Oreochromis niloticus: one gene and its partners. Each later gene encodes a partner of the first gene's protein in a complex. Links are inferred from orthologs where the notes say so. Each region holds a gene or a part of one and is shown in the gene's direction. Other genes may lie near its edges.

Region 1 (7,874 bases):
CACTGTCACTGAAATTCAAACTCGACTGAGATTTTCAGTAGACATGTCACCTCGTTCTCCAGTTCTCACATTCACAAACGTGGGTATTGACAGCAATAGTCCGTCAGTCTTTTACAGCTGAGGGGTAAAAACTACATTTGAACACAAGTCTCATGTTTAAATTCCCACTTTTATAGCACTGAGAATAGTTTCATCATTAAATATCAAGGGTAACAAAATGTATATGTAAAGTACTTTTTTAAAAATTATGCATTCAGCTTTGTATTTACTTCCTCACTTAGCTAGTTGTCAATTTATTTATGTATTTACTGATTTTTATTGTATTTTGTTTGTTTTATATTATATGTATTTGTTACTTTATATTCTAAGAGTCAAACACTCTCAGTTTGACTGAGTCTAGAATCAGAGTACCGCACATCTCTACTTTTAATTACAGAAACAGTCACTAACTTGCCATTGCATACTTTATTTACTTTATTGGGGTGGCCACTATTGACCATTTGCAGGAAAAGAGATGGGTATATGATTCTCTGCATTAGGAGCTGCACAATGTTGTCACATAACAAAACTGAAACATATTTTCTACCTGGGATTTGGTGTCGTGGGTCGAGCTGCTTAAAGTCATGTTTTTCCACCATGTAACCACGCCAGTAATTTCCATCCACTGTTTGCTCTTCCTATCACATGGCAGCGGTATGCAGTTGCGTCATCTGTTTACTTTTGGGTAGCACATCACCAGCTGCTAGTCTCTCCTCCTTCTTGACCTGGTTATACTCCACAGAGTTTCTTTGTTTGTTTTGATCTGTGCTTTTTTGGAGGTTGTTGAAGTATCTCCCTATTTACTGAACCCTACAGGGAGTGCAGAATTATTAGGCAAGTTGTATTTTTGAGGAATAATTTTATTATTGAACAACAACCATGTTCTCAATGAACCCAAAAAACTCATTAATATCAAAGCTGAATGTTTTTGGAAGTAGTTTTTAGTTTTAGCTATTTTAGGGGGATATCTGTGTGTGCAGGTGACTATTACTGTGCATAATTATTAGGCAACTTAACAAAAAACAAATATATACCCATTTCAATTTACCAGTGAAACCAATATAACATCTCCACATTCACAAATATACATTTCTGACATTCAAAAACAAAACAAAAACAAATCAGCGACCAATATAGCCACCTTTCTTTGCAAGGACACTCAAAAGCCTGCCATCCATGGATTCTGTCAGTGTTTTGATCTGTTCACCATCAACATTGCGTGCAGCAGCAACCACAGCCACCCAGACACTGTTCAGAGAGGTGTACTGTTTTCCCTCCTTGTAAATCTCACATTTGATGATGGACCACAGGTTCTCAATGGGGTTCAGATCAGGTGAACAAGGAGGCCATGTCATTAGTTTTTCTTCTTTTATACCCTTTCTTGCCAGCCACGCTGTGGAGTACTTGGACGCGTGTGATGGAGCATTGTCCTGCATGAAAATCATGTTTTTCTTGAAGGATGCAGACTTCTTCCTGTACCACTGCTTGAAGAAGGTGTCTTCCAGAAACTGGCAGTAGGACTGGGAGTTGAGCTTGACTCCATCCTCAACCCGAAAAGGCCCCACAAGCTCATCTTTGATGATACCAGCCCAAACCAGTACTCCACCTCCACCTTGCTGGCGTCTGAGTCGGACTGGAGCTCTCTGCCCTTTACCAATCCAGCCACGGGCCCATCCATCTGGCCCATCAAGACTCACTCTCATTTCATCAGTCCATAAAACCTTAGAAAAATCAGTCTTGAGATATTTCTTGGCCCAGTCTTGACGTTTCAGCTTGTGTGTCTTGTTCAGTGGTGGTCATCTTTCAGCCTTTCTTACCTTGGCCATGTCTCTGAGTATTGCACACCTTGTGCTTTTGGGCACTCCAGTGATGTTGCAGCTCTGAAATATGGCCAAACTGGTGGCAAGTGGCATCTTGGCAGCTGCACGCTTGACTTTTCTCAGTTCATGGGCAGTTATTTTGCGCCTTGGTTTTTCCACACGCTTCTTGCGACCCTGTTGACTATTTTGAATGAAACTCTTGATTGTTCGATGATCACGCTTCAGAAGCTTTGCAATTTAAGACTGCTGCATCCCTCTGCAAGATATCTCACTATTTTTGACTTTTCTGAGCCTGTCAAGTCCTTCGTTTGACCCATTTTGCCAAAGGAAAGGAAGTTGCCTAATAATTATGCACACCTGATATAGGGTGTTGATGTCATTAGACCACACCCCTTCTCATTACAGAGATGCACATCACCTAATATGCTTAATTGGTAGTAGGCTTTTGAGCCTATACAGCTTGGAGTAAGACAACATGCATGAAGAGGATGATGTGGACAAAATACTCATTTGCCTAATAATTCTGCACTCCCTGTAATTGAAAACTGAAATTCAGCGCTTGCTGTCAGATATGTCTTGCTTGTCTTTCAGTTGTGTGTGCTAGGAAACATAAACAGGTGTCACTGAGATGGGAAAGATACTGCAATATGACACTTTTATATCATGGAAAATGTATATTATCGCAGATGATATGATATGGCACAGCCCAAGTGCCAAGGATCCTGAAGCCTCTGGGAAGAACTTTTTTTTTTAATTACTACACACCTTGGACATGAAATAATTTGCATGGAGACCTGAATTTAAATTTGCTTATTTCTTCTGCTGAATTTAAAGTCATCAACATGGCAAAAGAGAATATTAAATATTAAGAAGAAAATTAAAAATAGTAGTTTATGTTTACGTTTAGCCCAACATGTATTCAAAATATGAAAAGAAAGTCAATGAATAAATAAGTTTGGGTGGTACAAAAGGAGAATAAATGAAAATCATCAAAATAAATGAATGTATATATTTTTAAACTGGAAAAATAATGTCACATTGGAAAATTAAAAAAAAAAAAAAATACTCACAAAAACCGATAAAACTCATTTTTTTTCTTGTAATTTTCTTTCATTATAATAAATATTCATATATGTTTTTAAAAATATCTATATTTTTTACCTAATGGCTTTTAAAATAAATATTAAATAACTTTGTAATTTTTAAAATGTGCTTTATGAATCCAGTTTACCGGCTTACTCACTTGTTTTAATATTGGCTGTTAAAAACAGCAAGATTTTTTAAAATAAGTACAGATTTAGTTTGTAACTTTAAGGCTGTGTAGAGCAATATATAAGCAGTTTCTCACTTTGATTTGGAGCACATCCAGCGGTACAGTTTCTCCCTTCAGTATTGACAGTGTTGCTGATGTGATGTCCCTGGAAAATGAATGACATTAAAAACATTCTAGTTAATGGAAGAAATCAGGAATTCTGTACTATATATTTGCTGAGTGACATGATAACAACCCAGTGAAGTTTGTCGTGGGAATATGTAATGATCTTTTTGTGTGTGATGCTGAAACATTACTTACTTGACCTTGTTGTCACTGAGGAGATGAAGACTTGGACTGAGGGAATTATGGGAGCCTAGTGGAATGAATCCAATTGGTGTCTTACTGAAGACGTCCTGTGGTCAGAAAACATCCACCAAAAGAAAGATTTAATTACTTAAAGTATCAGACCGAATACAGTTATTACAGACAGATGATGTCAGATTAACACAGCTACTATATTACATTACACCTACTTGGTCTGGCCTTCTCAGTAAACCTGTGATCACTTCCTGCAACGTGCCATCTCCTCCAGCCACGATCAGCATGTCTGTTTCTTCCATTAACTCGATCAGTTTTTTTGCCTGGCCTTCATAGTCTGTCTGTAGAGGGATATGTAATATCTAGATGTGATGTCATGCTCTGTGACACTCTCAGAGACACTATTACCTGATAAATATCCAATTGAAATAGAAAACATTACCTTGACTACTGTAATCTGCACACCAGCCAGGTGTAAAATAGGAGCAGCATTCTTTTCAAATAGGTTGTTGGCTTTCCTGGAGAAAATTAACACAGGAAGCTGTAAATATTCTGAGAAGAATTAAACAAGACTCTCAGAGAGATGTCTGGAGATTATGCGTCTTACCCGTTGCAAGCTGCAGGGTTCAAAATCACAGTTGCTTTCCTGATTCGCTCCTGTGGTGCTATCTGCTGCTGTCCATATTCCTAACACAAATGATGATGTTAAGGATAACTGTCACAAAGAGGAAACTTGTGTTTTGGGGTAATAATTTTGTGACACCTTACCCTGGCTAGTAGACACGCCTCTCTGCGCAGGACGCTGTCACTGATGAAATATTATACATAACATTTAGGACACGAAAACGGGAATTTGTGCACTCTGTCTCATTCATAGCATGAAATACCCACCAGTGTTTTCCATACAGCCAGTATCCACCGTAGGACAAGACACACACAGCAAATGTGCTTTTCTTCCAATGATTTCGCAAAGTCCGAAACACTTTCACGACTCGAGCCATGACTGTGATTAAACTGTTTTCAAAACCTCAATTTTAGCGCAGTGGTACAGATCATTAAACGTCATAAACGACACATTTTCATCACAGCGGTCACAGACTCACAGATATAAGACTAGCATGGACATTTTGGTGTACCGTCAAAACAGTTGGAAGCAAAACAGGAGCCTCAAACTCATGGTTCCGCTTGTGTTTTGTTTTTTTTCGGAACTATTTCTAGTTGCATATTTTTTTCAAGTATTGCTTTATATAAGTCTCCTAAAAATATTTTATTTTTTAATTATTTTTTTTTAAGTTTACAGATTGTAGATTTAATTAAATGCCTTAAACGCTTTAGCTTACAAGAACTACAATTCCCATAGTTGCTAATGGGGACGGGGCCATCATTCGGAGGACCCCGCCTGAAAAGAGCCCACATAACCATGAAATCTTCTAAGATATTTAATCTACTCAACTAACCAGCGAGGACATTAAATTAGGACTGATAGATTCGTTGTTCACTAAAAGTGACCAAAGCGTTACAGAATTGATTGTTTTAAATTTCACACCGGCACAAACCCAGAAGCTTCTGTCCAACTTAGTGAGCGTATCATGGCGGCGCAGATGGCGGTAAATTCGGGTAAGGGTGTATATTTTATTAAATAATTGGATTTTGTTTAGTTATTGCATCAAATCTCAACCTCTGTTATGCATAGAAGCGCAGATATATGCGCTTCTTGGCCGCAGATTTGTCGATTATGATATGTTTTGACCACATGTTGTTGGGTCTGTCAGGCTAACATAGCTTAGCCTTACCCATAGCAAATAGACGTTAAGTTAGTTGAGGTTAAATAACAAATTAGTTTTACTCATTTACACCGAACTAATTCCCACATTAAACCTGAAATAACAGGGAGGGATGACAAGACTTGTCTGATAGATCAGCCGACCGGCTTGAAATAAAATTGAAACTAACAACTCGGGGGAGGCAAAGAAGTGTCTGTACTATACTTCTGGAATCTTTTATAGTGCTGTGCAAAATGCCGCAGTGGTGTTAACAAGCATGGTTATAACAAATTAACTCGAAATGACTAGAAATTAGTTGTTTGCATACTTGTGTGACGGCCCAAGACATCTGAAAGCTTATTTACAACCTCAGGAGCCAGTCTGTGGGGGCCGCTGAAAGAGCTCTGGGAGACAGTGGACGGAGCTGTGTTAAGGAGACAGCCCGAGAGTGTTCACCTCCTAGACCTACAGCTGAAGAAACACAAACCTCACTTTCTGTCACTTTTTAAGAACCCGGTAAGATGGCATGAATGGGTAATTTAAAACACTGTCATTTCTCACACATGCAGGTCACGGGTGGTTTTTTGTTTTGTTTTTTTTCCCCAATGTGTAGCTTGTAGTTACAGTCTGTCCTCCGAGACTCTGATATTAACAGCGTCTTGTCTTCTCTTCATTTTTAGCCAAAAAGTGCAGAGCAAAGAGAGAAAGTGCGTAAAGCCAGCACAGAAGGCATCGCCATCCAAGGTCAGCAGGGGTCACGGCTCCTTCCAGAACAGCTTCTGACAGAGGCTTTCATCCTCAGTGATCTCTTTGACATTGGAGAGTTGGCAGCTTTGGAGCTTCTCTTGGCAGGTAACATGAAGGAAAAAAATCCCCAACTTTATCCAGCATAATTATTTCCATTTCATCTTATAGGTAAAGTGTCACTGTAGTTAATTGTGTAGCAGGTTGTAGTGTATGGACTGTCCTGATCAAACACTGAGATTGAGCTCTGTTTCTTTTATGTAATCATCTCTCTCCAGGTGAACAGCAGCAGCCCTATTTTCCAGGACTGACACGAGGCCTAGTGGCCGTGTTACTTTACTGGGATGGAAAACTTTGTATGGCCAACTCTCTGCGCACGCTCATTCAGTCACGACAGGGAAAGACCTTCACCCTGGATCTTAGGTAATAACGGTGTCTAAAAGTAGTACAATGAAACATTGATAAATGCTGTTAAAGTCCCGTATGAGGAAGGTGTTTTTGTCCTGCTTGTATTTTTTTGGTAACCATTGCCCTTGATGTGAATGTGTAAAAATTGTGTATGTTTCTGTTCTGTGTCCTGTGTACTTTTTGTTTGTATATGTGTCTTTCTTGCTGCTGTTACATCCAAATTTCCCCTTGTGGGACAATTAAAGGATTATTCTATTCTGTTCTATTCTATTTGAATCTTATGTTTGACAATGTTATTTGTTTTCTCCTTCAGTGGAGAGCTGGTGGCTCTGACAACACGATTTACAGATGAGCTCATGAGCCAAGGTCTGACCAAACGCATCCTAACTTTGGTGTCAGAGATAAGCGTGACGCGTGAGTTTGAACGACTGCAGAAAGAACGCGGATTGGGCAACGAAAAGCACAGGAAGGAGGTGTGAAGTAATCTTTTGTATAAATTTTAACCAAAGATATAAATCTTCAAATTGCTTTGTTTTGTTTTTCCAGTGTTAAAGGAACAATGCAATGCCACTAATTTTCTCAACACAGCTCAAATAGAAACACAGAGTGTAGGAATGCAGAGTGGATTATGGAAAATGGGGATTACATGCAGTTTCTGCATCTGTCACCAGGTTGCAGACCTCATCAAGGAATGCCGACAGGCGCTTGCAGACAGCCTGTTTTCATGGACCTGCCAATCACCCCTGTCAAAAGATGACACTCTGGCACTCATTGGCCACCTGGAGACAGTTACAGCTCAGGCTGATGGCTCACTGGACAGTGTTAGCCTGGCTCTGGTTATGGCACTGCTCTACTGCTTGGATGTCAGTTTTATAGAGCAGGGGACTGAAGATAGAGATGGTAAGTTCGTGTTGATGGTTTTGGTTTTCTTTCTTTTTTTCCTGTTGAAATCACTGATTCCAAAAATCAACTGCCTGCATGTGTTTTCCTCCAGATTTGCTCCAGGCACTTCCATTGCTGACAGAAAGGCAGTATGTGTCTGCAGTGCACAGTCGCCTGATGGACAGCCAACCATGGAAGCTTCCGGGGCTGCAGGCCGTGTGTCGACTGGCGTGGGCTCTGTCGCTGAGAGTCCTTTCCCAGCTGCCACAGGGCTCTGGTAAGTACTGCATTCCTTGAGTCTCCATTAAAAATCACCTTCTGATTCTTACGTTTTCTGAGATAACAGCCATTTCATGTTATTGTATGTGCATTTTTGTGCAGCACTGGTTGAGTTCACTGAGGCAGATGAGGCTCTGGCTGATCAGGCTCTCCTGGGCGATGTCTTCTTGTTTATGAAAGAGGGCATGCTGGGATGTGAGAGTTTTTCCCAGGAAGAGTTTTACATCCGCCGCGTCCATTCACTCATCACAGACTTTCTGGCTCTTATGCCAATGAAGGTAAGAGATGCTGCAGGTGCGTGCTTTTAACTTAAGACTGACATGTAAAACTATAATATGGTTTTTAACTTATCAGGTTCAACATTCT
Region 2 (6,988 bases), about 60 Mb from region 1:
AGGGTTGACCCGGGACCATTGCTGTGAGTCACAGTGTGCAGCATAAAAGTCCTTTCACATCAGACGCAGGATGTGCTGCTAATGCGCAGCATAAAAGTCCTTTCACATCAGACGCAGGATGTGCTGCTAATGCTAACTAAAAGCAAAGGATCCAGAATTTGTTGCGCTGGCTGCTGAGCTCTGTGGTTTTTTGCAGCAGCTCTACCTGTACTAAATGCACCTGCTCCTTGTCGTTTCTATCTCTGACTTTATGTCCTCTACAAGAGTTTGGTTTTTTTGCTAGTTCTTTAGATGTTCAATAAAAACATGTATGCTAATTCATAACGAAGAAAGCTTTGTAGTGAAGACTGTCATTTCCAAAACACTGCCCCCTCCCCGCGGTCTGCAGCGCTGTTGAAAAGGCTGTGGAAGTCCCTGTATTAAGCACGTAAACCTGTGACACAAAAATCACCAAACTCGGACGACCACAGACTGTTTTCCTTCATGGTGATGAAGGAAAATGCTGGGTTGGCATCATTGACTGTAGAAAACATGGACGACGCGACTCCGCCTCCTCCCATTGTGCAAAAATGAAGCCAAAATACCCCGCTTGTGGAGGCTGCCATCTTGCAAATTTGGAGCCAGAGTCTGCGCAGTAGTGACTTGAGGTGGAGCGACTGTGTAACGCTCCCGCCCACACACCCGCTGGACTTGACCGTAAACACGCCCCCCTACACTTTTTACGTAGCCCGGCTGCTCGAGTTTTTTTGCTGGTTTACCGCGACTGATGACTCGTTTAATTAAGGTAAATACAACCATGTCACTGTTATAAAAAGACACACAGCTTATCATCTTATAGTTCTAAAATCACTTTGTTGTTAATTCGTTTGCTAGATTAGCCGCTAGCATACGCGCTGTGTTGGAGGCTTGTTGCTAGCTAGATGCTACACACCTGCTACTCTAATAGTCTGTGTTATTGAAGGATTCAGCACTTCTTATGTTTGTTTTTATCCATTTTTAGACAGCGATGAGATAATCTGCACACTCTACAGAGGCCCAGAGTTACTGTTAATATCAAAAATATAATGCTGTCCTTTGAGATTTTAACATAAGACTGTGAGTGTAATGGATCTAAAACGGTTTAAATCTTCAGAGCCCTCTACAGCCTGGTAACATGGAAACTTTAAAAACATCAGCAGAACGTTTCAGTAGTGTAGTCTAATTTGTTCTTTTCATTTAATAACAGAGTCCATATTATATCAACAGCTACATTCACCCTGGGGAGAAACTAGTGAGGGAGACCATCAGGACCAAGCTGGGTTTCCTGGGTCCAGAGGTTTGGAGAAACTTCTTCCTTTTCTTTCATCACAGCTGTCCTGTGCCAGAAGTTCTGTTGACTGACTGAGAGAGGCTTCATTTAAGAAACACCAGGAAGACTGAAGCTCATCGCATTGATCAAGCAGGACTCATGATCTTCACCAGCAGCTCCCTCACAGGGAAATCTTCAGCACTCCTCCATAGGCCCGATCCAGGAGATGGATAAACCCAGCATTTCATGAACACTGTGATGGAGACCTTTGGTTTGTGTAATGTTATAAATACTCGGATACTCCCCAGAGGCTCCAGACTTTTACATAAAGATATTATATTCAGTCCTGTAGAAAGTTATATATTTAAAAATATATGATCCTCTCTGGTTACTCTGGTATGAATAACTCTGAATCACTTTATGGTAAATAACACACTATCTGCAAAAAACTGTGAAAGAATTCCAGATGACAAGTTTGTAGTTCAACATACAAGTGACGACCTTTGACCTTCATCAGGTTTTATTTAATTGTGCCAGAGAAAATCTCATATGCTCTTCATGCAGCTGAGTACATCAAGTGTTTAAAACGGAAGCTGTGCAGGTCTGAGATCAGCAGCTTTGTGAAACACCAAACTGAGGTCCTGTTAATGCTGATATATAGTGACACAGTTACATGAGTGATTAATCCTTTTGGGTTTTTGTTTTTAACTTTATCAATAAAGCTGCAGCTTTCACTGACAGCACATGTGGTACTTTAACCTTTGTACTGTTTTCATCAGTTCATTTTGCAGTTAACATGTGAACATGTTGGATGATCTGTCTGCTGTCACTGGGTGGTGCTGAGGTCTGAATCTGAGGGCAGCCCCTGTAATCACAAAGAGAACAGAACCATCACAAACTCAAATATAAATTTTATCCCTCAAAATTGAAATAAAGCTGATTCTTCTGTCCTCACACACTCAGGATCTGAAGTTCTTCTCTTACATTTTTTTCAGTATTACAGTACTCTACAGTCCTTTAATCCATAGTTCCTGATTAATGAGGAGTTACTGAAGTACAAGCTTTTAAAAAAATGTTACTGTCTTTACAGATGTGGCAAGAGACTGAAAACATGCTGTTGTTTGCATATATTTGATATTCAGCTCTGCACAGGAGCTGAAGCAGCGTGCAGCCTGTTGCTTTTACAGTATAATACTTGTAATAAAAGTGCAGTAACAGTAATTAGTGACTGATTAGCCCGGAACGTTTCTCTTAATTTCTTTAGTAAGTTCATTCACCTGCACAGATTAGCTAAACGAACCCTGACAGCCGAGTGCTCATTTTAGCTAGCTAGGTCTCAGGACCTAGCTAAGGACGGTAGTTACGGATTAGCTTACAAACACGATTAACTTACCGAAAAAGTGCAGCGGGGCCTCGGGTCCTTCTGTCGGGTAGTCCAGTTTACTGAAGAACACCTCAGGCTGTCAAGTTAAAACACTCGGTCGTGTTTTCAGAACGTAAACGCTGGCCCTCCTCTCAGAGCCTACGCTCTATCTGCTATTCCCGCACACAGATACGCAAGTTTCTTCCGTGACTGCAGCTGTCAGTCAAAGCCGCTATGATGACGTTTCACCCCAATTTAACATCGCCGCTGTAGGAATGAGAATCAAACTTATGGGAAAGGAGACCCCTTGGACATCAATCAGCATGATGAGAACTATTGATAACAAAAGACAGAATCTTTGGAAAAAAATTATCTAAGGAGAATAAATTTATTTTAGTCTGACCCCAGTCCCATCCGCTAACATGGAGGAGGCGGGGTTTATGACCTATACTGCAGCCAGACACCAGGGGGCGATAGAGACATTTTGGCTTCATTTTTGGAGAGCTGTCGCGTCGTCCATGTTTTCTACAGTCAATGGTTGGCATATAAAAGGGCATTTATTCCCTTCAAGGACCTGCAGTTCAAAGAAGCGCCCCTCCGACAGCCAAACCCATCTCTTCTCTGATTGGATTGTTACATTTGTGATTGACATGACATTGACCAATCAGATGAAAGGAAGAAAAATAGGGTCAAAATTCGTACTTGTAACTTGCAGGGTTTTTTTGGCTAAGTCCACACACAAATCTTTTTTACGCACACACAAATTCTTTTTACACATACAAATCTTTTTACACATACAAATCTTTTTTACACACACACACACAAATTCTTTTTACACATACAAATCTTTTTTACACACACACAAATTCTTTTTACACATACAAATCCTGATTTACAAGTACAAAATATTTATGACCACATTTTGAGCCCATACCGCCGCCCCGCCCTCTCCTCCCTGTGCAGCAAGCAGCAGGCGCACCTCGCAAACAGAGGGCGCCCTTACTCCCAGCAAATGGGCGATAGAAAACCGATCGGTGCCTATGCCATCCCCAAAATGTGTTGGCCAATCAAAATCCGACACACACACACACACACACACACATATAAAATCTAATGAGAACATCTAATAATGTTAATTTCCTTCTGGGCTCTGATTGGTCAAAGCAGACATACAAAAAAAACGGAGTCGGATTTGTATTGTTTAATGATGACGTCAGTCATCCGATCCGGCAGGTGGCGCGCCTCGCAGTGGTTCTCCTACCTTAAATGAATCTTAGAAGAAGAAGGAGCTGGAGGCGGAAGTGGGTTTGAAAGCGCAGCGCGCGGCCGCAGCGGCACGAGGATAAGATGGCGGCGGCGTTGGAGCGCAGCTACATCGAGATCTGCGGGTTCGAGAGAGAGGCCGCGCGGAGGCCGCGCGAGCTCACTGCGAATCTAGGTAACTCCTGCACTTCACCTGCGTGCCCCTGACGGCGGCTAGCAGGGAGCTAACAGCCTAACGGCCCGTACCTGCTGGCGTTAGCGTGTTAGCTTCCTGCTAGCCGCGCGCGGCCTGGAGGTGTTTCTGTTGTTGTTGTTTTTTCTTCCGAACTCTCACCTGACTAGGTGAGCGCGCACTGCTGAGCAAGCGAGCGAGTAAATCTTCCTCCGTCTCCGTTTAGTATCAGCTAGCTCCGTTAGCTGCTCACCTGTTGCGCACCTTGTCACGCGTGAACCCGCGCTGATCACGTGACCTTGACCTGCGGTCGATGGTGTCTGCGCCTCCGGAAGCAGCTGATTATTGATCTGATAAACACTGTGACTTGCTGATCAGAGCCTCAGACACCTGCAGGTCAAGAACCTGTTCAAACCGGACTCACCTGTCTTTCCGGTCTGCAGGTGTGAGCGCAGCACCTGGCAGCCTGAAGTTTCCTGACAGCGCGGGAGCGTTTCATTATGAGGAGAGCGGGAAGCTGCTGTCGGTCATCAGCAACAGGTTCATCCACTGGTGGGTACCAGCTGCTCTCCAGGTGCTCTGCAGGTGCTGTCAGCCGTTCTCTGCTAACACTCTCACTCATGCAGGTCCACGTCTGGGGACTCGGTGGTGCTGGTGGAGCAGTCTCTGGACACCAACTTGCTGAACAACGCCGTCCGGCTCCGCTTCACCCACTGTGCTGTCCTGCCCGGAGGAGTCACCATCCAGGAGACGCTCAGCAACGTCGTCATCCTCATCTCCACCAATCACAGCGTCCACAGGCTGCTGTTGCCCCACCCCACACGCATGTACCGCAGCGTGAGTACCTGACGGTGACCCTCAGCCTGCATGCTGTCCTATGGTCCGTGAAGAAGCCACACCACCAGCTGCAGGACAGCGTGCGGTTGTTGATTACTGATTACCGTTATCAATTGATTAATGAAAGTGTCACTATGGACACGACAGATGACTCAGACTTTAAGGTCTGATACCAAACTACCAACAGCCGTGTGAGATTACCATAGTTACCATGGTTACCATAGAAACAGATTTAGGTGAACGTGAAATGTAATATTACAATCAATGTAGAAATCAGCAAAACATAACAAACAGAAGAAATGTTTTTAAAAATACCAGAGGAAGGCGCACGATGGAGAGCAAAGGGACTGAACAGAGTCTGTGTGTGAGTGATGGAGGACACTCAGACCATGGTGAGGTGGGTGGGGGTAGGCTGTTGTTAAGTGTCCAAATGGACGCTGTTAGAGTCTGGAGGTGTGGGACCTGACTGGCCTGAGGCGCCCACCAGAGGGCAGCTCTGAGCAGGACAAAAAGTCGTACTAATCAAATCAAATGGACACCATACACAGTAGAAAATACGCGTGTGTGCAAATGATACAATCATACAGCTGTTAGCACAATTACTACGGTAACTGTTAACGAGATAACTGACCTCGAACACTCCTCTGTGCGTGTGTAGGAGCTGGTCACAGAGTTGCACATGCAGTCCATCTTCACTGATGTGGGGAAGCTGAGCCTGCAGGACCCCGCCCACAGCGCCCTCATCCCCAGCTCAGTGGGAACCACGGCAAGTCCCGGCGCTTCGTTCGCCTGGCTCAGTTACCACGGAGACGCACACTTCGCTCTGGCTTCTCCTGCAGGAGGCATCACGGTGGTCACCCTGCCATCGCCCGATTCTCAGGGTGAGGGGGAATTTCTATGTTTAATGTGGGCGTGGTACCTCGGCCGGATTTTAAGACGTGTGCTCGCCGTTTCCAGGCAACATGTCGGTGCTGGAGTTGAAGAGGAGCTCTGTGATGCAGCGGCTGTCCGGGTGGATGCCCACGGCAATCCGCGGCGAGCACAGCCCGGCCGACCTCGTGCTCAGCCTGGCCGTGCGGGAGCTGGAGGAAGACTCCTTCATCTTTGCGCTGTGTCAGGACCACCGGCTGCGCATGTGGTCGCTCAGGGTGATGACATCACACACACGCACACAAACACATTGTTGATGTGTAACGTTTGAGTCGCCATGTGCTGACGTGACTTCCGCCCCCTCAGGAGCATGGCTGTCTGCTGGAGGCGGACATGTTGGAGTACATGCCGGCGTGTAAGGGCGTGAAGCGCCTGCCGGGCCATGGTCACCGCCTGCGCCTGGCGTTCTCCTCCACCACAGGCTTGTGCGTGTGCGTCTACCTCGCCGTCCCTCAGCGGGGGCAGTTCACCGTGTTGCAGCTGGTCGCCACAGACAACAACCGCTACAGCCTTGAGCACATCTCCACACTGTTCAGTACACAGGTGAACGCACGGGCGGATCCAGGGGGCGAGCCTCGTTTTTGTGTTTGTGGTTACTTTCTGCATTCTGAACCGCTCTCTGTGAACAGGAGACGCTTGTGGACTTCACGCTGACCTCCTCGGACATCTGGGCTCTGTGGGTGGACGAATCCAACGCCACCGTGGTCAAATACATCAGCTTCGAGCAGTGAGTCGAAATGCCAGTGTCTTCCTCCTGTCCTCTGCTGATATTTCCATGTTCTCTACCTGTTTCCATCATCTGTCTCCGCACATGTTCCTCACCTGTCGGCATGTTTCACAGCAACACGGCGGCTCAGTGGAACCAGGTGTTTGTTCAGCCTCCACCCGAAGAAGAAATCCACATCGGAGTGGACCTGGACCCCCGGGTGAGACCAGTTCAGACCAGTAACCAGTGTTTTAATGAACAGGTAGTGCTGACCATGTGACCTCTGACCCCCTGACAGGAGACATATCTCGAGGTTCTCTTCTCTCCCCTTCGTTTCACAGCCTCGGCCATTGTGAAAGCCCTGCAGGTGAGAATCTAGCTGTGTGTCTGATTGACTCTGTGATTGGTTCCCTGATTGATAACTGATTG
Region 3 (7,604 bases), about 53 Mb from region 1:
GTGCTGTGTTTGCATCCTACCTCTGCTTGCCACTGCCTGCTATGATGACAGTGACTGACGAGGTGCTACTTTGTTAGCATGTTTTCACATTACAAACTCAAGACCTTAGCTTACAACATCACAGGAAGGAGCCCAAGAATTTTCCATAAATAAAACTGTTAGATCCAACCCTTGTCTGTAAGGTCAAGTTAAAAAAACAAACAAAAGAGGCAGCTAATCTAAAAATGCCACGCTTCAGTTTTCAGAAGTACATAAACCAGTGAACGATGCCAATGACCCATCCTTTGGCCAATTTCTCTCATATGCTGTAGGTATTTGTTTTTCCAGACATTACCAAGAGGAGAAGATTTATGGAGGACATGCAGAGGAGGATATTGGAATAGTCATGGCAAGGCAAAATTTTCCAGAATTCTCGGGTAAACAGCCCGGGATTTTTTTCCCTCCAAATACTATTAAAAGCAGTAAAATAAGAACAACTACATGTCCTTTGTGTTTGTAGCTGATCATGTGTTCATGCGTTTTGACTTTTAAGACTGTAATTCATTTGGTCTGCTTAGTCCATCTGTTATGTTTGTGAAACAATATTTTGCAGCAACAGCCCAATTGAAAGCCTAACAGTGAACTCTGGGTTTTCCACTGTAATGCTGAAACTATTTCTAGATTTGAATATCATTTTTGAAAGCTGCAGTGTCTACAAATTAAAGACCAAGCCACAAATTTCTATGACGATGAACATAAATCTCATAAAACAATAAACCTTCAGAGTTCTCTTAAAATGACAATACATAACGACAATCTATTTTCAATTATCTGAATCAAACACATCTTTAAACTCAACAAATAATTACTGGTCATTTAATCTCACCATGTTCAAACCGATGGAACATCTGTGCAGGAACAGTCGCACCCATCTCTTCTTCAGTATGATGCTTTACTGCACTCGAGGGAGCCCATTCACCGCAGCAGGGTGTAGTTTGGTTATGAGCCGTTTGTCATTTCTGTCATTTTGCTCGTGCAAAAGGGAATGAAGCCTCTCTAGGTAGATTTACAAGAACCGTTTACGCCTGGTTGGACATCAGGACATTATCAAGTTAAGAAGAGACTTTGAGGAACAGAGATCCACTTTCTTTCCTGGGTGAGTGAGTGCTTTCCTTCCAGCTTCTATCTCAGCATACACATGTGAAACAGGAGACTCACTTGGAGATAACCAGAGACCCAGTGGCACCTACTTCACACAGTGCTGTCACTGCCGGTGAGAACTATCTGTAGGAAGTTCATGACAGTGGTAAAGAAAGTCTTTGAAGAGACAACATTCATATGGACTGGAAAGATAAGCAAATCTAGAAACATTTTATCTGAAATGTCTGCATTCAGAAGAATTGTCAATGAATGAACCCCAAGCACTCTATACAATAAACGACATTCACCTACTCATACAGCTTTTATTATATGTGCTTAAGTATTTAAACACCTTGCTTCATCTATTGCAAATTTAGAACCAGCAGATAATGGAGGATGCATGTTTTTGGAACTATCTGGCTGTGACTAAAATATCTGAAACACTTGTGATGAGATAAATGACAGAGATCATCTCACAAAAGCTCCCTATCAAGAGTTTTTCCTAATGTTTGATCATTTTACTGATTATACATACTTTCCAGACTTATCAGTCAGGAGAGTGTGTGTCTTGTTTGTTTTGCTTTTTAAGTTTAGAAACTTGAAACTAGTTTGTTAGAGTTAGTCAATAAACACTATGTTTTTAGGTTAATGTTCTGAGAACTACTTGGTTAGGTTTAGGGAAAGATAGTGTTTTGGTTTCATGGACGTTCCCTGCATGCCAAAAGATCATACGCTCCTCACAGCAATCCCATAACTCAGCGTGTCAGAGATCACTGCCAAAAGACACCTTGCACAGAAATGAGCAGTGTCTTTGGCAGAAAAGCATGAATTAACATCCTGGAAAACATGATAGGCGGATACTTATTACCTTTCGCGCAGATAGTATCTCTTAGAGGGACTGTGTCGATTACATTTTTCAAGTTGGGTTGTATGGGGTAATTTTGTATGGAGTAAACTCTGTGTTTAGTTCATTGGCCTCCCCATTCATTAGGTCTCAGTCTCACAGAACACCTTTGGGAAGCGCTTAAAGATCTGCTTAACTGATGTGATGCAATGACATGCTAGCATATGTTAGCAGATTATCAAAGAAGGTTCACCTTTAATACAGAACTGAGTCTTTCTGAAAGTAAGGAGCCATTCCTAATATAGTGGACACTGTGTGTAATATATTTGAGCAGTGCAAAATAACTGATGGGAAGCATAGCAAGCATTGGTATGTTTTGTTTCATAGGTGTTTCTCTATTGCTGAAGACAGAGGTGGCTCACATAAGCAGCACAAGAAGCCTCTGTCTGCTGTTCCACAGCTGACTGTTTAAGTTGAACTCAGTTCTACAAGAAACAGACTCAGTGGATGTCCCCAGGTGTGTGTCTCAATTCAGCTCTAACACTCTTAATGAGATGAATTTGTTGCCGTTATACACAGTGTTCCCATGTTTGGCTGACAAAAATAAATAAATAAATAAAGCCTAGTTCAATCTCAGTGAAGTTATTAAAAAGGTAGACCAGTTTTCTAATTTGGTTTGGTTTAATGTATGTGAAATATTAACTGCTTGCCTCAAAACAAATATGCAAATACTTTTTGCTAATGCAAGCTTTTATGGCATTTTATAGAAATTTTGGTAAGGAAAGCAAATCTTGAACCCACAGTGAAAATGCAGGCTACAACATGATGGAGGAAATAAGCATGAGATATCTTCAAGGTGTAAGTAATGTTCATTTGGAGGTTAATCACAGCATAATCCCTCTGCTGCCCTAACAAAAGGCTCAGTGAAGAGAGAGGCTTTCTCATCATTATTGCAATACTCAGTTTTAGACAGCAGATGTCTTTATCTAATTTAGAGAAAAGACTGCAGTTTTTATCATAAGTGGTATACACTGTACACTGCTAAATAGAGATATAATAGAGCAATGCAGCTAATGTCTTGTAAGAGAAACTGTAGGTTTTGGCACTTAAAGCGCTGCCTTCATTTTTCATCCCTTGAGGTAATTAATACCTCAGTTATACAGTAATGATGGAGTACTAGGGGGTGGCTGTGGCTCAGGCAGAAGAGGAGATTGAGTGCCAAGTTGGAGGTTTGAGTCCCACCTCTATATAGTTATGAAGTACTTAGAGCAGCATAAAGTATTGCATGCATGTGTGTGCCAGTGGGTATATGTGGCTTTTATAAAAGAAAGCTGTAAGTGTTAGAATTGAAAGTGTAGGTGATAGAAAACAGAGAAGCTCATTTGGTTAGCAGGAGAAAGATGCCCATTCAGGAAGTGCTGGGGATGCACCTGCTACTGATATCAAACTCATGTCTGCACCTCATCAACAGGTTCACACTATGATATCTGCAGACAAATAAAGATTCAGATTGAAGATCGTTAAAGTGTATGTATAAAATACATACACTTGAAGTGATCTTCTCAAACAATAATCCATACTTTGCATTTCAGAGAGAAACAGATTTTTCATTGCACAGCATTTATCTTATATGAAGGTAATTGTGTACAAAACACCTTAAAATATGTTAATTTAAAAAATTAATTGTTACAGATTTAAAAGACTCCTGCAGGGTTTCTGTTTGAAGTTGAGAGTTCTTGTTAAAAAGTCAATAAAATCTGAAAAGATTACAAAGAGACACAAATGACTAAAACAGACACAACAAACAAATGAAAAAACAACTACTGATTGCTGAAGAAATAAATAAAATGAAAATGTATTTTTTTATTCAGGTGGAGGAGGTCTAGAGTAGGAAGACCAGAGACATAAAATACACATATGTGAACACGTGAAAAAATTTTCATGGTTCTAGATTTTCAAATATGAACATTTTTCATGGTATTCCATTTTCTTTTTGCATTGACTGCAAAGGTCCAGCATCATTTTCTAAATGCTTAGAAAAAAAATCAATAAACTTACCAAGAAAATATCAGCACAACAATATTAAAAATACTTTATCCTACATAGGATATTCTTTTTGTTCAGCAGTTGAAATACTACTACTACTACTACTGCTGCTAAAATAACAATAATAATAATAATAATAATAATAATAATAATAATAATAATGTCAAGTAAATTTTAAACATTAATTTAAATAGTAATTAGTCGCAGCCTCGTATAAAATAGGTTTTAAACATAGCTGGCACACAATAAAATGCGCTAAAAAATACTCACAGGATCTTGTTCTATGGTGAATACTGTTCAGAATTATACTTAAATATTTACTACATTTTAGGGACCTTTACGTGTTATAATCCTCGTAGTTTAAATGATTTGTATTGATTTGCAATACACGTGTGCACATCTACTGTATTGTTATCCAGTACAGCACACGTGTAGCTGGTGGCGATACTGCTCCGATCCGCTGCGATTGCACTAGAGGAAATATTAAAAAAAAAAAAAAAAAAAAAAAAGCAGCAGAAGAAGAAGAACACTAGCCAATCAGAAAGCAATTTGCTGCTGCCTGATGACCAGATACCAATAGGAAATGTGAATGTGAGCGCGGATAAACGGAATTGTTGTGTGTCGGCCTCGGTGAGATTGTATTTGGTGACAGTAATAAGAGTAATTGTTTCAGGGCCGTTAAATCCCCTCACAATGAGCCTGTCTCTGAGGTAAGCCGGTTTGTCGCAGTTATTCCAACATCCCTCATACCAGCGCACAGAGCTAGTCGCTAGCTCTTTCACATAAGAGGCGCTAGCATGTTAACTTTGCTGTGTTTGTTCGGGAGGGATATTGCATAGGAATTAGCTGGAGCTACTAATCAGTGTAGAGTCGACGTTAGCTGCTTACTGTTTTTTTTTTTTGTTTGTTTTTCTGAATGTGACTTGGACGACTACAATGCACTGTACTATAGGCCACATTTAGTTGCAAAACTACTGTTCAGATGCCACCCCTGTGCATCGTTTGTCTTTCATCCAATCCACTACAGACGTACACGTTCAGTAAGCATCGACCGCATAGCCACAGCAGAAAGTCATCAGTACCAGTACAAAGGAGCGTTTTTTCTCTTTTTTTTCTTAAACAAATGAGCATTCTTGACCAACATTGTTGCTGATTACATTTTATTCAGTGCACATACACTTTTGTGTATGTGTAGTGGAATTGTAAGGGGGAAACCTTATATTAAATATTATACATGGAGAATCTTGTGTTGAATTGGCACAGAAAGGGGGAAAAGGACCAAAAACAGAGAAAATCTAACCGAGGAAAGTAGCTGTATCAGCTGTCAGCCAAACACTTCACAGTGTTATGTGTATCTGACAATTAATGTTATAATGATACTACAGTCAATTTGTTTTGTTATGTTATTTTGTAATGTTATTGATATTTAGATAAACAGGTGTCAGAGTATTACTCTATCATGTGGTTAAGTTGCTGATAAATTAGATTTTACTGAATAAGTATTTGGTCGTAGATACTTCGTTACATTGCTAACGATATATGTACTGCACTCTGCTTGTGTTGCAAACACAGAGTGTAGATACTTGTAAACTTCAGTCTGTAAATAGTTACAGATTTTAAGTTCGTTTTCTCAGTTGTTAGGGTAAAACTGATCACAAGGCTGTGTACGTTGTCTAAACACTGAGTGCACTGCCTGCGTCTTTGTCTATTGTGTGTTTTGTCAGCCCTTTGCTACCTTCTTCTGTAAAGCTGTGGTGTTCTGCCATATGCTGTACAACATACTCTGTATTGAAGCTTTAATTTGGGGTAACAGCGGATAAATATGTCACTTAAGTTAAAGAAAAAAGTTTGCAATATGATTGCAGCTGAAACCTGTGTACATTTGTGTAACATATGCTGCATCTGTCTTTCTCCAGAACGGAGCTCATGGCAGACAAAACAAAGCGTAAGAAGAGGAGAGAACTCACTGAGGATCAGAAACATGAAATCAAAGAAGCATTTGAGTTGTTTGACACAGACAAGGACAAAGAAATTGACTACCACGAGCTGAAGGTGAGCACTGGATGATGAGAGGAAAACAAGTTTGACAGCCAAAAATAGTCCAGTGAAGCGGTATTTAATCTGCTGTGTATAGTATGTTAATATGTGCCATATGTCTGTCATAATGAACTCAAAAAGCAGTTTTTCCTCACATGTTTACATCTGCTGTGCTGCTGTAGGAATACAGAAACATCTCACTGTCACAAACTGTCAACAGGTGGCAATGCGTGCACTCGGCTTTGAAGTGAAGAAAGTGGATGTTCTCAAGATCCTTAAGGATTATGACAGAGAGGGAAATGGGAAAATAACATTTGAGGACTTCAGTGAAGTTGGTAAGTTTGCCTTCCCTGCATGTGCCCCTGTGCAGACAGGGACCAAGAGGAAGAAAATCTCTGACATCTTTAACTGAAGTGTTTCAGTAACTCTGATGCATGTTATGTATGGTTCTGCAGTGACTGATCGCATCCTAGAGCGAGACCCGAAAGAGGAGATCATGAAAGCCTTTAAGCTGTTTGATGATGACGAATCAGGAAAGATCAGTTTGAGGAACCTGAGACGTGTGGCTCGGGAACTTGGGGAGAATATCAGCGATGAAGAGCTCCGCAGCATGATCGAGGAGTTCGATACTGACGGAGATGGTGAAAGTAAGTCAGCACTTGCTCTTTTCTTCGACATTGACAATTATTGCTATACATTTAATCCCTAGAAGGGAAACGCGTTCAGTTTGTTTAAGTGAGCAGGAGTGGATGAACAGGACTTTTGTTTGTTTTGGTGTACGTACAAAAGAGGCCTATGAACTAGGGCTGCCACAAACGATTATTTTGATAGTCGATTAGTCACCGATTATTTTTGCGATTAGTCGACTAATCAGATCATGCATCCGTTGGACGTACAACGCACTAGCATGCATCTGCTCTTATATAACTATTATTAGCTTACAGCTTTAAGTGTTTAAGGTATGTACTAACTAAAAATAAAGATAAGATGATAGTTTATTAAATTTTAGTGAAATTTGCAGATTGTTTCAGTGAAGTTTAATAAACTCAGCCGTCTGCTCCTTGCTATCTAAAATATAACAGGACACCGGAGTATATTCTCGACCATCTCACACTTCTGATAATCAGTTGTCTGCTTGACGTTTATTCAGCTGTGTAAAAACTATAACTTTAATCTCAGCCAAACTGATTTACTCAGGAACAAATAAAATACTAAAAGAAGCCAAACAATAACATTTTTAAGTTTTCTAAGTGACTTATATATCGTTTTTAACCTGAGTAGCGAAAGACGGTGGTGATGTTTGAAAACGATTTGCCGGGAATCTGGTGCTCTCACTGGCTTCAATGAGCCTTGAATCCCGGCTAGCTATCGAGCTGGTGGGTAACAGACGTCTCCGAAAACGTCGGAGCGCTTTTGAAAATATGTGGTGTCTTGATAAACTGAGCAGATATTTGAGGTTTACACAGCTACATTCTCGCCTGAAAATATGTTAAATGTTTATTTTGTGACCCAGAAAGAATAATAAGAGTAATATTAAAACTAACTAGCGGCCGCCATT

The links. Proteins that work in one complex are often made in the same cells at the same time.
Region 2: nup205 (region 1) and nup160 share a complex: the UniProt entries of both Homo sapiens proteins name them as parts of the nuclear pore complex. The link is inferred for Oreochromis niloticus from reciprocal best matches to the Homo sapiens genes NUP205 and NUP160.
Region 3: nup205 (region 1) and cetn3 share a complex: the UniProt entries of both Homo sapiens proteins name them as parts of the nuclear pore complex. The link is inferred for Oreochromis niloticus from reciprocal best matches to the Homo sapiens genes NUP205 and CETN3.

Annotation. Positions count from the first base shown.
Region 1 is NC_031972.2:61,902,122-61,909,995, reverse strand, and holds the start of nup205 (nuclear pore complex protein Nup205), read left to right. Parts: upstream 1-4,825; 5' UTR 4,826-5,021; coding exon 5,022-5,049; intron 5,050-5,568; coding exon 5,569-5,711; intron 5,712-5,875; coding exon 5,876-6,047; intron 6,048-6,217; coding exon 6,218-6,362; intron 6,363-6,660; coding exon 6,661-6,820; intron 6,821-7,018; coding exon 7,019-7,247; intron 7,248-7,341; coding exon 7,342-7,506; intron 7,507-7,610; coding exon 7,611-7,786; intron 7,787-7,874. Other genes in the region: agk (acylglycerol kinase, mitochondrial), read right to left, coding at 3,208-3,277, 3,433-3,527, 3,648-3,773, 3,875-3,950, 4,040-4,119, 4,201-4,240, 4,324-4,433. UniProt on the Homo sapiens protein: Plays a role in the nuclear pore complex (NPC) assembly and/or maintenance. May anchor NUP62 and other nucleoporins, but not NUP153 and TPR, to the NPC.
Region 2 is NC_031972.2:2,109,213-2,116,200, reverse strand, and holds the start of nup160 (nuclear pore complex protein Nup160), read left to right. Parts: upstream 1-3,928; 5' UTR 3,929-3,998; coding exon 3,999-4,089; intron 4,090-4,529; coding exon 4,530-4,638; intron 4,639-4,712; coding exon 4,713-4,923; intron 4,924-5,581; coding exon 5,582-5,804; intron 5,805-5,880; coding exon 5,881-6,071; intron 6,072-6,159; coding exon 6,160-6,396; intron 6,397-6,482; coding exon 6,483-6,580; intron 6,581-6,694; coding exon 6,695-6,779; intron 6,780-6,857; coding exon 6,858-6,926; intron 6,927-6,988. UniProt on the Homo sapiens protein: Functions as a component of the nuclear pore complex (NPC). Involved in poly(A)+ RNA transport.
Region 3 is NC_031972.2:8,996,959-9,004,562, forward strand, and holds the start of cetn3 (centrin-3), read left to right. Parts: upstream 1-4,544; 5' UTR 4,545-4,702; coding exon 4,703-4,719; intron 4,720-5,925; coding exon 5,926-6,061; intron 6,062-6,266; coding exon 6,267-6,381; intron 6,382-6,501; coding exon 6,502-6,693; intron 6,694-7,604. UniProt on the Homo sapiens protein: Plays a fundamental role in microtubule-organizing center structure and function. As a component of the TREX-2 complex, involved in the export of mRNAs to the cytoplasm through the nuclear pores.